Stegostoma tigrinum: one gene and its partner. The protein of the gene in region 1 purifies or fractionates together with the protein of each later gene. This does not show direct contact. Links are inferred from orthologs where the notes say so. Each region holds a gene or a part of one and is shown in the gene's direction. Other genes may lie near its edges.

Region 1 (7,140 bases):
GGCCGAGACCATTCATCAGATGAAGGGTCTAGGCCCAAAACGTCAGCTTTTGTGCTCCTGAGATGCTGCTTGGCCTGCTGTGTTCATCCAGCTCCACACTTTGTTATCTTGGATTCTCCAGCATCCATTATCTCTGGAACCACATTGCTGTTCCTTCACTGGTGCTGCATCAAAATCCTGGAACTCCCTTCCTAACACCACAGCAGGCTCCCTATACCCCAACGGCTGCAGCAGCACAAGGCGGGGGACATCACCATCTTGTTCAGTGCAATTAGAGATGGGCAACAAATGCTGGCCTTGCCTTTGAGACCAACCCATTAACTTTTTAAAAAAAATACTTTCACACTTTGGACTTCGGGGCAACTTCCTCAAGATCAATAATTGCAGACGATGCCAGACCGTGAGAACAATGAGCAGGAAAGCAAAAGAATGCAAGAGGGTATTAGACGATTCCCAGACCAAGAAGTTACATGGTGAATGAACTTTAGTATAGATGATTTTGAAGTGATGCAATTTGGGTAAGCAAAAGAGAAACATCTCTTCAGTATGAGAAAATAAGAGTCCCCATGGGCTGGATTAATTGAAAGCAATGTTACAAATGAAAAACAATGTTTAAAAATGCTAAAAAAAACTGAGGTTACTTCTGGTGTTCAATTCAAAATTGGTGATGCAATGTTAAATTTGTGCAGAGTCCAAACTCAGGATTCTGGTTTCCATTTTATGCAAATATGTCGGACTATTAGCAAAAGAATGGGAGGTGAAAACGGCATCTCTTTCTCAGAGAATGATTGGCATGTCGACCTCATCAGTGGTTGAGGGACATTGTTTAGAAACTTTAAGAGGTAAACTAAACAAGAAGATGGAATAAGACGGAATAGCTAGATATAGAGAAAGGTTGATGAAGCAGAGGAAATTAAAGTTGGCACCTGTGGAGTAGCAGCCCTAGCACAGGCGAGTTGGGCTGAATGGTCCACGCTCTCTGAATTCATTCTGCGGTGGACTTGCGATCCTTTAACTGAATAAAGCCACTGAAAGGGTAAAACAAAATTCCCAAGGGATGCAGATCCCCCTCCCTGTTGTCCCAGAAATTGCTCTATTATCGTTACAACACACACCCACTTCAGAGGGAATTAACATTTCTGTCTCGGCCCAACTTGCGCTTTACAGTCGGAATCCAGAGTGAGCCCAGTCGGCCCATCGCGCCTTCAACTGTCAAATGGCATCTCACCACGTGTAACCTGCCAATTGGGGTTTCCGGTGATAACAACTTCACTCGCTTCTAGATTAAATCTGACGTCCGCCGCACCCTCGGGCACTGTTGCAGCTCCTGTAATGACTCGCTGCCTGTCTCCGTCCACAGTTACTGCTTTTAGCAGAGACTTTACTTTTCACTGTACTCCTGTATAGAACATAGAACATTACAGCACAGTACAGGCCCTTCGGCCCTCGATGTTGTGCCGACCTGTCATACCAATCTCAAGCCCATCTAACCTACACTATTCCATGTACGTCCATATGCTTGTCCAATGACGACTTAAATGTACCTAAAGTTGGCGAATCTACTACCGTTGCAGGCAAAGCGTTCCATTCCCTTACTACTAAGTAACAATAAAGGCTATTCTTTTCTAATCTATTCTGTTTGTATCGGTTCTGCTCAGTAGACTGTTAGCTGTGGGGCGGTGTATAGTTGAGTGGCACAGCCCGCTTCTGGTTTCTGTTGGATTTACACTCCAGGCGGGGACAGATCAGCGACTTCTGGTATTTCTGTGATCCAGACCGGGCGGGGGAATGAGATTTCAGAAATGTTACTGTGTTCGCGAATTAATGTCCTCCCAGCGCACATTTTAAGGGTCGATTCGCGGGTTGTGATATTGAGGAGATTTACAACACTGCGAGGGTCAAGGGAAAGAGTGGTTTTTTTTATTATTAAGGAGACCAAGCAGAGGATTTTGTTTTCGGACTGACGAGCTGAGCAGCGGCCAGCATTGATGACCTTTCGGGTCGATCAGTGACTTCTTCACTGAGTGTGGGTGCACTAATATCGGGCTGATTTCGGGACTGTCTCCCCAGGGTCTCCCAGACCGAATGGGGCGAGATTTTGAGACAAATCTGGCTCCTTCTGTGCAAATAGCTTTAGATTTTCTGTTCCTTCAAATGGTTCTCGGTAAAATCTCAGCCACGGGACTCCTTAGATATAAAAGGAGCAGGGAAACATGGATTCCAGTCTTCAGCAAATGCTGGGAATCTAAGGAGATTGACCTGAATTATGAGTCAACGATTAATTCCCCGATTTGTTCAGAACAATAATTGTGTACTAATCTGAATCTGCGCTTGTATTCGCTTCATAGACAAACGCGGGACAGAATAAAATTCCGTGTCACGCTGGGCGACCACCGATATCTTCGATGCTAATCATTCATAATGCAACCTTGAGCTACCAATACAGTGTGTTTTAATTCCCCCACTCCTTTATTTATCGAACAGAAATCCCACTACACTTATAATGGTCCCCTGTAAATTGGAATGACTGGGCTCGAGTCTCCCCGGACCTTTCCGGTGGGAGGCATAGATCCAGCAGGAGAGGAGGAAGGGATGGCAGAAAGGAGGGAGGGATGGGGGAGGCAGGAGGGAGCGGGAGGCAGGAGGAGGGGAGATGAAAGAAATCGAGTCCGCTCGCTCAGTCAGAAAGTTAGAGTTAGCTGTTGAAGAGGACAATAACAGGCAAAGCAGCCGAGAGAACAAAGTTAGAGACGATTGGAAGGCGACAGCAAGGCGGGGGCAAGATAGAACAGGAGTCGGGAACTGGGGATGGAAAGATCAGAGAAAAGTCCGTGAGAGGAGCCGGGGACACCAGGAGGTGGGGTGGTGGGGTGAAGTGGAGTGAGGTACAGAAACAAGACGAAAAAAACAGACGGGGACATTGATGGAGAAAGGGTTGAAAGAGATGTGGGCTCGAGAGAAGAGCGCGACACAGAAGCTAAAGAAACGAATGAAGCAAGGAGAGCCAGAGGTCCTCAGCTAGAGGAGAGGGCAGAACATTATCAGACATTTTCCATTCTGATAATTTTCTACACTGGTCAGGCGACTGTTTTCAACCTTCCTGCGTAAAACATAAATAAACAAGTCTGTTCAATGCCATGTTTTACTCGACCATGTCTTGGTCGGAATATTTATTTTACATTAATGTATGTTGCTACAGAAACCCCAAAACGTGCGCTAACAGTTGAGACATTTCGATGAGTTCCGCCTCACCTCTCCTAAGCAAATCGCCGTCTTAGTTATATCGAGACTAATGAAAGCAACGAGTTCCGACACTGAATCATTCACTTTTGAACTGAATTAAAAACAAAACAAATTTTGTCGCTGCGTGTCACAAGCGTATAGCCCGGTTTAAGCAATGCGTTTAATGGAATCAAATTGGCAGAAAGTAATCGTATAATTAAAGTTAATATTAAAGGATTATTACAACAGAACTGGTAATTCCGCCCAGTAATATTTACCTTCCAGGGATTCAACTTGACATCTGGAATACCAATTTCAATTTTTATTCGTTCAGCGGCAAAAGAGAAGAGAAACTGGCTTGTTATTGAAAAACAGAAATGATTTTTTAATGTAATTTTTAAAAAGCGCTAGAAAAATTAACTCAACAAAAAGACAGCAATCGAGCCCCGGCACCAATCCTCACGTGGAGATTCGACACAGCGCTCATATGAAAATTTATGGAGATTTCGGTTCCTTACTTTTACACAGGGCAAGACTTTCGTGAGTTTTCATCAGTGCAGAAGAGGAGTTTTCAGCCTAAAAAGCGAAAACTACAGGTATGGCAGCATCCATGGGGAGAAATCAAAAAGTTTTTAATGTTCCTTCAGTAAACTGGGGATGCTGGCTGGCTCTGGAGGGGTCGGGGGGTGGGGGGGTAGAGCAGCCGACTCTTTGCCGCCCTCTGTCAGTGTCCCCTACACACACACATACACACACAGAGAGAGAGAGAGAGAGCCCGTGACGTTGGGACCATCCCGAGGAGGCGAGGTTTAATGTGATTGAAAAGTGATCTTCAAGCTTCAGCATCCAACTGCTTTGAAGAGATTTTCGTTAGTGGTCAGCGTGGGCGATATTTCTGACCGCTCTCTCGGTTTGTTTCTCTCTCTCTCTGTCTGTCCGAAGGGGTGTGGAAAGACGGAGCAACATTTCTTAACCTGGGCTTGTGTGGATAAAGTGAGCCGCTGAGAGACAGAAAGGGAGAGGGGAAAGTAAAAGTTACAGCGCGAAGTAAATGGGAGAAGGAAGAAGATGCAGGAGGGCTTGAGGGGGTTAAAGTCCAGTGAGGAATGAGTGAGCCCATCCCCTGAGCAAAGCTTGGGTGTGCGGGGCAGGGGAAGAAGTTGCCCAAATCTTCCCCCCACCCCCCCTTCCCCGACACACACACACACACACACACACAATCCCATTCCAATGGAGAGCCTGGCTGCTCTAAGATGACTTGGGAGGAGTGGACGAACCGGAGTGTGGACGGTAACGGCTCGGGGGGAGCCGGCAACAGGTCGAGTGAGGAAGGGGCGGCGGGACTGGACGGCGTGGCCGTGGGGGTGGTGCTGGGCGCCCTGATCGCCTTCGCCATCGCCGGTAACATTCTGGTGATCCTCTCGGTGGCGTGCAACCGGCACCTGCAGACGGTCACCAACTACTTCATCGTTAACCTGGCGGTGGCGGACCTGCTGCTGAGCGCCACCATCCTGCCGTTCTCGGCCAGCCTCGAGGTGTTCGGCTACTGGGCTTTCGGGAGGCCCTTCTGCGATGTGTGGGCGGCCGTGGACGTGCTCTGCTGCACCGCGTCCATCATGAGCCTGTGCACCATCTCCATCGACCGCTACATCGGCGTACGCTACTCCCTGCGCTACCCTGCCATCATGACCGAGCGGAAAGCGGTCTGGATCCTCCTGCTCCTCTGGCTCTCCTCCCTGGTCATCTCGGTGGGACCCCTCCTGGGCTGGAAGGAGCCCGCTCCCGCCGACGACACCCTGTGCAGCATCACCGAGGAACCGGGCTACGCCCTCTTCTCGTCGCTGTTCTCTTTCTACCTGCCCCTCACCGTCATCCTGGCCATGTACTGCCGCATCTACGTGGTGGCCCGGAGGACCACCCGCAGCCTGGAGGCCGGGGTCAAGAGGGAGCGAGGGGGCAACAGCACCGAGCTGGTGCTGAGGATCCACTGCCGGAGTGCGGCCGGGCCGGGGGACGAGCCGGCTTCCACCCTCAGGGCCAGGGGCCAGGCGCCGCCGCCCCTCCGCAGTTCACTGTCCATGCGCCTCCTCAAGTTCTCCCGCGAGAAGAAAGCGGCCAAGACCGTCGGCATCGTGGTCGGTGTCTTCGTCCTCTGCTGGCTTCCCTTCTTCACCATCTTACCGCTCGGTAGGTAGAGCGTGAGGGAGAGCGCGGGATCAAAACGGGGTGGGGAACTTTCTAACAGGGTCAAGCTGCGTGTAAACCAACTAAAAATAAACCAGAATGTTGCTGGATAAAGCTCAGGCAGCATCCGCGGAGAGAAATCAGAGTTAAAGAGTTAAGGGTCGACAAACCTTGTAAATGTGTCTCTGTGTTTGTGTGTGTGTGTGTCCATCTCCGCTTCAGAATTATCAGCAAAGTCCAGATATTATCACATGTCATGGGTCTCAGTAGCTCAATGTCATTGGTTCTGTGTTGCAACTCTCTCTGATTCTGAAACCTTGTGAGTTCTCACCTCTATTGACTCTATCCCACTATTAGGCAGTTCAGAGATTCACTGTGTACCACATGGGACTCGAACCTGGGTTTACTGCCGCTGTGCCATCGCAAACCGAAGGAATACAGTACTATTACATATCACTCCTTGTCCCACCTCACTGTAAATCGGCTAACTCTGAGGGAGACGGTGTTCGGGTTTTGATTTTGAGATCCAGATCACTCATACCCAGATGACGCATGCCGACTTTTCAAACTTCCAACCCTCCTGTCGGTGGCACAGACTTCATTTGGAAGGCATCCTAATTTCCCATCACGTCCTGGCAGGTTAGTCAGCGCTTCAGGCGCCTCGCCATCTTTTCATCGAAGAGTGTCGGGGTGGGTCACGGCTCAGTCAGTCCAATCAATCCTTTGAGTTTTACTTTCCCATAGGTGGGATGGGGGGAGGTGGGGGCGAAGTTTTATTCATGACCTGTTGGATTCTAACTGGTGATCGCCTCTCGAAGGTGGCACGGTACAAGTTTCATTTGCGGGCAGCTCAGAACTAAAATGCTCCACTGTCTTTTTTTTTAAATCAGAAACTGACGTTCCCGCCAAAATCCCGGGAATAGCACGAACTGCAGATGCTGGAGTCTGAGTCAATGCAGTGTGGAGCTGGATGTGGTGGGGTGATGGAGGGTTTAGGCCCTAAACGTTGACTCTCCAGTTCCTCTGATGCTGCCTGACATGCTGTGTTCCTCCCAAAGACTCGCTGCTCAGATTAAATTCAGGCGGGCAGAATGCACTGGGAATGCATAATTCCTGATCTATAGGAATGAAGCACAGAACCAGAATTTAGAGCCCGATGGGAGCCACTCTTCTGGTAGAAATTTATGAGTGGGACTTCACACCTAGGCATTCTATTGTTTTGTTTTAATCACTGGTGAGATGTGGGTTTTTACTGGCTGGCCAGAATTTACTGCCCATTCCTAGTTGCCCTTGTGAGGTTGGTGGTGAGCTCCCTCCTTGAACCTCTGCAGTCCATGTGCTGTGCATTAACTGGTAATGCCTTAAGGGAGGGAATTCCAGGAGTTTCACCCAGCAAAAGTCAAGGAACAGCAATTCATTTCCAAGTCAGGATGGTGAGAGGTTAGGAAGGGAGCTTGCAAGTTGGTAGTGTTTCTATGTATCTACTGCCCTTGTCCTTCCAGATGGAAGTGGCCATGGGTTTGGAAGATGCTGTCTGAGGTTCTTTGGTGAATCTTTTCTGCAGTGTATCTTGTACTCATCTGCTGCTGCTGAGCTTCGGCGGTGGAGGAAGTGGATGCTAGTAGGTGTAGTGCCTATCAAGCGGTCTGCTTTGTCACGGATGGTGTCAAGCTTCTTGAGTGTTGTTGGAGCTGCAACCATCCAACTAAGTGGGGAGTATTCCATCACACTGCT
Region 2 (7,007 bases), on another chromosome or scaffold:
ATTGTCACTGATAATGTATTGAAGGCTGCGAAGAAGATGGTGTAGTTTCTGTACTCCCAGGAAATGCTGGACAATGAAGGGTACCCTATCAGATGTATCTGTGTCTGTCTTCGAAGGAGGCCATTACGGTTTTTCGCTGTGGCACTGGCGTTCAATGAGTTGAACAATGTTAGTGTCTGTGTGTGGGGAACATGAGAGAGAGAGAGAGAGAGTGAAAGCAAGAGAGAATCTGTTTGTTGGGGGGGGCATTAAACAAAGATTGCAAGCAAGAGAGTATCTGTGTGTGTGTGTGTTGGGGGGGCGGGGTGTTAGAGAGAGATCGAGCATGTGTCTGTGTGTTTGAGGGGGAGTGAGAGTGTATAGTGTGTTACGGTCACCTGTAGTGCAACATGAACCCAAGATCCCAGTTGAGGCTGTCCGCATGGGTACCAATCTTGGGTTGATGAGTTGAGCATTGTATCCTGTTCCAATGGGGGCATTTGGATGGGTACATTATCAGAATGTGTTTGAAGGGATATGGGCCAAATACTCCCAAATGGGATTAGATGAATTTTGGATCTCTGGTCTGCGCGGACGAGTTGTGTCGGTTTCTGGGCTGTGTAGTTCTATGACTCTTGTGTCAGACCCAAAGATAGTAGGAACTGCTGCTGCTAGACTCTGAGATAAAACACCACAACGCAGTCCCCAAGCCTCTGCTTGGTTTCCCCGATTGTAGAGGAGGCCACAATCGGAAAAGTGGATACAGTATATCACATTAGCAGATGTGCAGGTGAACATGTTTGATGTGGAACGTATTCTTGGGACCTGGGATAGGGGTGTAGGGGCAGGTGTAGTACATCCTGTAGAAAACGACAATGTTGTCGAGAATACTGAGATACAGGCTACTAGACTAGGTGGGATTGAGGCTCACAAGGAAGAGGTATTAGAAATCCTACAGAGGGTGAAGACAGATAAGTCCCCTGGGCCGGATGGGATATATCCTAGGATCCTCTGGGAAGCCAGGCAGGAGACTGCCAAGCCTTTGGCATTGATCTTTAACTCGTCATTGTCTACAGGAATAGTCCCAGGCGACTGGAGGATAGCAAATGTGGTTCCCCTGTTCGGGAAGGGGAGTAGAGACAACCCTGGTAATTATAGACCAGTGAGCCTTACTTCAGTTGTTGGTAAAGTGTTGGAAAAGGTTATAAGGGATAGGATTTATAATCATCTAGAATAGAATAATTTGATTAGGGATAGTCAGCATGGTTTTGTGAAGGGAAGGTCATGCCTCACAAACCTTATTGCGTTCTTTGAGAAGGTGACCAAACAGGTAGATGAGAGTAAACTGGTTGATGTGGTGCATATGGATTTCAGCAAAGCATTCAATAACGTTCCCCGCAATAGGCTTTTGTACAAAATACGGAGGAATGGAATTATGGGAGATATAGCAGTTTGGATCAGAAATTGGCTTGCTGAAAGAAGACAGAGGATGGTGGTTGATGGGAAATGTTCACCCTGGAGACCAGTTACTAATGGTGTACCGCAAGGGTTGGTGTTGGGTCCACTGCTTCTCGTCATTTTTATAAATGACCTGGATGAGGGCGTAGAAGGATGGGTTAGTAAATTTGCAGACGACACCAAGGTCAGTGGAGTTGTGGATAGTGAAGAAGAATGTTGTAGGTTACAGAGAGACATAGATAAGCTGCAGAGCTGGGCTGAGAGGTGGCAAATGGAGTTTAATGCAGACAAGTGTGAGGTGATACACTTTGGTAGGAGTAACCGGAATGCAAAGTACTGGGCTAATGGTAAGATTCTTAGTAGTGTAGATGAGCAGAGAGATCTCTGTGTCCATGTACACAGATCCTTGAAAGTCGCCACCCAGGCATACAGTGTTTTAGCGTTTATTAATAGAGGATTGAGTTCCGGAAACAAGAGGTTCAGCTGTACAAAACTCTGGTGCGGCCGCACTTGGAGTATTGCGTACAGTTCTGGTCACTGCATTATAAGAAGGATGTGGAAGCTTTGAAAGGGTGCAAAGGAGATTTACTAGGATGTTGCCTGGTATGGAGGGAAGGTCTTATGAGGAAAGGCTGAGGGTCTTGAGGTTGTTTTTGTTAGAAGAAGGTTGAGAGGTGACTTAATTGTAGACATATAAAATAATCAGAGGGGTGGATAGGGAGAGCCTTTTTCCTAGGATGGTGATGGTGAGCATGAGGGGGCATAGCTTTAAATTGAGGGGTGAAAGGTATAGGACAGATGTCAGAGGTAGTTTCTTTACTCAGAGAGTAGTAAGGGAATGGAATGCTTTGCCTGCAACGGTAGTAGATTCGCCAACTTTAAGTACATTTAAGTCGTCATTGGACAAGGATATGGATGTACATGGAATAGTGTAGGTTAGATGGGCTTCAGATTGGTATGACAGGTCAGTACAACATCAGGACCGAAGGGCCTGTACTGTGCTGTAATGTTCTATGTTCTATTTCCTGGGGTTGCAGGGAAAATTGCCAGGGGTGGTGGGGCTTGGAGACAACTTTATGGAGCACCTGCAGTCCCATTCACATACCATTTCCAGTCCCCCTCCCATTCCTTAGATGACATGTCCATCATGGGCCTCCTGCAGTGCCACAACGATGCCACCCAAAGGTTGCAGCAACAGCAACTCATATTCCGCTTGGGAACCTTGCAGCCCAATGGTATCAATGTGGACTTCACCAGTTTCAAAATCTCCCCTTCCCCAACCATATGCCAAAACCAGTCCAGCTAGTCCAAAAGATTGGAGCGACTGGGCTTGTATACACTTGAGTTTAGAAGGATGAGAGGGGATCTGATTGAGACGTATAAGATTATTAAGGGATTGGACACTCTCTGGGGGCAGGAAGCATGTTTCTGCTGATGGGTGAGTCCAGAACCAGAGGACACAGTTTAAAAATAAGAGGTAGGCCATTTAAAACAGAGTTGAGGAAAAACTTCTTCACCCAGAGAGTGGTGGGTATATGGAATGCTCTGCCCCAGAAGGCTGTGGAGGCCAACTCTCTGGATACTTTCAAGAAAGAGATGGATAGAACTCTTAAAGATCGTGGAATCAAGGGTTATGGGGATAAGGCAGGAACAGGATACTGATTGTGGATGATCAGCCATGATTACAATGAATGGTGGTGCTGGCTCAAAGGGCCGAATGGCCTACGCCTGCACCTATTGTCTATAGTCTCTGCCTTTCCAACCATTCCTCTCACCTCAAGCCCCACCTCCATCCCACTAACCTTAGCCTCACCCCCGCCCCCCTGATCTGTCCGTCCTCCCTGCACAGACCTATCGCCCCGCCAGCGACACACCTTTACTGGCTTCATCCCCGCTTCTTTAACTTGTCTGTCTCCTCTCACCCAATCTTCTCCTTTATCCATCTTCTATCCGCCTCCCCCGTCTCCCTATTTATTTCAGATTCTCCTCCCCCCTCCCCCGAAGAAGGGTCCCGACTTGATACGTCAAGCTTTCCTGCTCCTCTGATGCTGCTTGGCCTGCTGTGTCCATCCACTTTCACACCGTGTTATCTCAGGAACTCCAGCATCGTCAGGCCCTACTATCTCTGTAACAACTTTCTCCCCCTCTCTCCCTATTCATTTCAGAACCCCCTCCCCCTTTTCTGATGAAGGGTCTAGACCCGAAACGTCAGCCTTCCTGCTCCTGAGATGCTGCCTGACCCGCTGTGTCCGTCCAGCGCCACATTGTGTTATCTGCAGTTCTTTAGTTTGTTTCCCGTTCGCTGGCCATTGCATTATTCCCATTGGCCTCCACGGAGGACCTTGCTCCCATTGGCTGGCCGTTGCGCGATTTCTATTGGTAGCCTCCAGGATCTCGAGCCCATTGGCTGGCTATTGCACTATTCCCATTGGCCGGCCGTTGCCAATTTCCCGACGGTCGCCCCCTGAAGATGTGCTATTATTGGCTGGCCATTGCACTAGTCCCATTGGTTGTCCAGTGCCGTGTTCCCATAGGCTGTTGGGTTGGCGGGCGATGGCGGCCGGGCTCTCGGTTCGGGCCGGGCCGCTCGAGCTTTTTCTCCGGGACCGCGGGTGGCTTCGGGTCGGGGCTGAGCTGCGAGCAGATAGCCTGAAGCTGACCAGCGAGGACTTGGAGCCTGGGGTCTGGGATGGTCTCTCCAACGGATCCCCGCGGCCGCGGAGCTCCAGCCCGACTCCAGTACATATGAGCCCGGCGGGGCCTGGATCTGGGAGTCCGGGTCGAGGTGCCGCGGTTGTGCTGCCCCGGGAGGCCAGCAGCCCGAAACCGGGTCCAGGGCTGGCCGATCGGGTCCGTACCGTGAGGGTTGTGAAACAGGAAGCCGGTGGCCTCGGCATCAGCATCAAGGGCGGCCGCGAGAACCGAATGCCCATCCTCATCTCCAAGATTTTCCGGGGCTTAGCGGCCGAACGTACCGGCGCCCTTTACGTGGGAGATGCCATCCTTGCGGTGAACGGAGCTGACCTCCGGGAGGCGACACATGACCAGGCCGTACAGGCCCTGAAGAAGGCTGGAAGGGAGGTGACCCTGGAGGGTGAGCGGGGGCTAAGGGGAGAGCGACCCGATCTTCGAGGTTCGGGTGAGGAGGGAGCGTACCCCCCCTCCCCCGGGGAGAGAATGGTCCGGGGATTCCTCTTCCACAAATTGTAAACGGATAATTTCGATGTTGAAATCTTCATTGAAAGAGATGTATAGAGAGAGATGTGCGTCTAATGAATACTTGCCATGTTGTTTCTCTGCTGGTTTCTGGACTGGTTCACATTGTACAGATTCCGATGGGAGCCGAGTTCTCCTCGAGTTTAACTTCATCAGTGTAGGCCTAGTACACGTAGAGTTTGTGAACATTGTGTATCCACCTGAAGGGCAAGTGGTTAACAGTAAGTGATTAGAATATCCTAAGGATCCAACAGGTAGAAATGTATTACATAAAACACAAATACAACCAACCAGGAGGTGCTAAAGATACTCCATTTGAGCTGCTTCTGTCTTTTTAAAATCTAAATCTACCATCCTAATCCTTTACATACAAACTAGGAGCAGGATTAGGCTATTCAACTCCTTGACTCTGCTCTTCCATTCATAAGATCATAGCTGATCTGACGGTAACCTTAAATCGATATTCTCCCCAGGCCTGTTAACCTATCATCCCCTGGCTGAAAAGAATCTATCTGTTACCAGTTTTAATTGTGTTCAACGACTTGACTTTCTTCACTTTTTCAATATGGGAGTTCCAAAGACTTGAGATGTTCCACCAGCAAAAAAATTCACTGCATCTGTTTTAAATGTGTGACAGTTTTAAACAGTAACCTTTAGTTTTAGATTCATTGTTAGATTCTTAATTCTAGATTTCTGTTGTTTTCGAAAGTCACAATTTGGCAGGCAGCATTCAAACATAAATGTTCCCTAGGCCATTACCTCTGTTTCTGCATTAATAGTTTGGAGATAATGCAGTGACAAGAATGCTAATGCAGTTATCAGGGAGGTGATGATCTGGTGGTATTATCACTGGACTGTTTGTTCAGAGACCTAATAGCATTTAGGGTGGCACGGTGGCTCAGTGGTTAGCACTGCAGCCTCCCAGCACCAGGGACCCGGGTTCGATTCCAGCCTCGGGCGACTGTCTGTGTGGAGTTTGCATATTCTCCCTGTGTCTGCGTGGGTTTCGTCTGGGTGCTCCGATTTCCACAGTCCAAAGACGTGCAGGCTAGTTCGATTGGCCATGAGAAATTACCAGTAGTGTTCAGGGGCGTGTGGGTTATACGGGGATGGGTCTGGGTGGGATGCTTCAAGGGGCAATGTGGACCTGTTGCGCCAAAGGGCCTGTTTCCACACTGTAGGTAATCTAATCTAATCATTCTGAGGACCTTGGTTTGATTCATGCCAAGGCAGACGGTGGAATTTGAATTCAGTAAAATATCTGGAATTAAGAATCTAATGATTACTATGAATCCATTGTTGATTGTTTGAAAAACCCAAATGGTTCACTGACCTTTTAGGGAAGGAAACTGCAATCTTTACCATATTTATTCCTATTCATCTGTTGGATGTGAGCATCGCTGGCTGGCCAGCATTTCTTGTCCATCCCTAGTTGCCCTTAAGAAGATGGGGGTGAGCTGTCTTCTTGAGCTGTTGCAGTCCTCCTGCTGTGGGTTGACCCACAATCCGACTAGGGAGGGAATTCCAGGATTTTGACCCAGCAACAGTGAAGGAACAGCAATATATTTCCAAGTCAGGATGGTGGGTAACTTGGAGGTGGTGATGTTCCCATATGTGTGCTGCCCTTGTCCTTCAAAATGGAAGTGGTTGTAGGTTTGGAAGGTGCTGTCTGAGAATCTTTGGTGAATTTCTGCAGTGCATTTTGTAGATACTATACGCTGCTGCTACTGAGTGATGGTGGTGGAGGGAGTGAATGCTTTTGGATGTAGTGCCAGTCAAGTGGGCTGCTTTGTTCTGGGTGGTGTCAAGCTTCTTGAGTGTTGTTGGGACTGCATTCATCCAGGCAAGTGGGGAGTAGTCCATCACACTCCTGACTTGTGCCTTGTAGATGGTGGACAGGCTTTGAGGAGTCAGGAGGTGAGTTGCTTGTCACAATGTTCCTAGATTCTGACCTGCTCTTGTAGCCACCGTTATTGTGGTGAGTCTAGTTGAGTTTCTGATCAATGATAATCCCCAGGATGTTGATAGTGGGGGATTCAGTGATGGTACCACCAATGAATATTAAAGGATGGTGGTTAGATTGTCTTATTGGTGATGGACATAGCCTGGCATTTGGGTGGCACGAATGTCACTTGCCCCTTGATAGCCCAAACCTGTATATTGCCGGGGTCTTGTTGCATATGAACATGGACTGCTTCGGTATCTAAGAAGTCACGAATGGTGCTGCACATATCCCCACTTTTGACCTTATGATGGAGGGAAGGTCATTGAAGCCGCTGGTCTGACCTGTATGTGACTCCAGAACTACAGCAATGTGGTTGACTCTGAACTGCCCTCCGGGCAATTAGGGATGA

Evidence for each region. The genes of interacting proteins can lie anywhere in the genome.
Region 2: the proteins of adra1d (region 1) and sntb2 purify together in Homo sapiens (tandem affinity purification; 4 studies listed by BioGRID and IntAct, with this or other methods). This does not show direct contact. The link is inferred for Stegostoma tigrinum from reciprocal best matches to the Homo sapiens genes ADRA1D and SNTB2.

The regions. Positions count from the first base shown.
Region 1 is NC_081354.1:171,210,377-171,217,516, reverse strand, and holds the start of adra1d (alpha-1D adrenergic receptor), read left to right. Parts: upstream 1-4,041; 5' UTR 4,042-4,475; coding exon 4,476-5,409; intron 5,410-7,140. UniProt on the Homo sapiens protein: This alpha-adrenergic receptor mediates its effect through the influx of extracellular calcium.
Region 2 is NC_081369.1:67,641,050-67,648,056, forward strand, and holds the start of sntb2 (beta-2-syntrophin), read left to right. Parts: upstream 1-3,967; 5' UTR 3,968-3,990; coding exon 3,991-4,531; intron 4,532-7,007. UniProt on the Homo sapiens protein: Adapter protein that binds to and probably organizes the subcellular localization of a variety of membrane proteins. May link various receptors to the actin cytoskeleton and the dystrophin glycoprotein complex.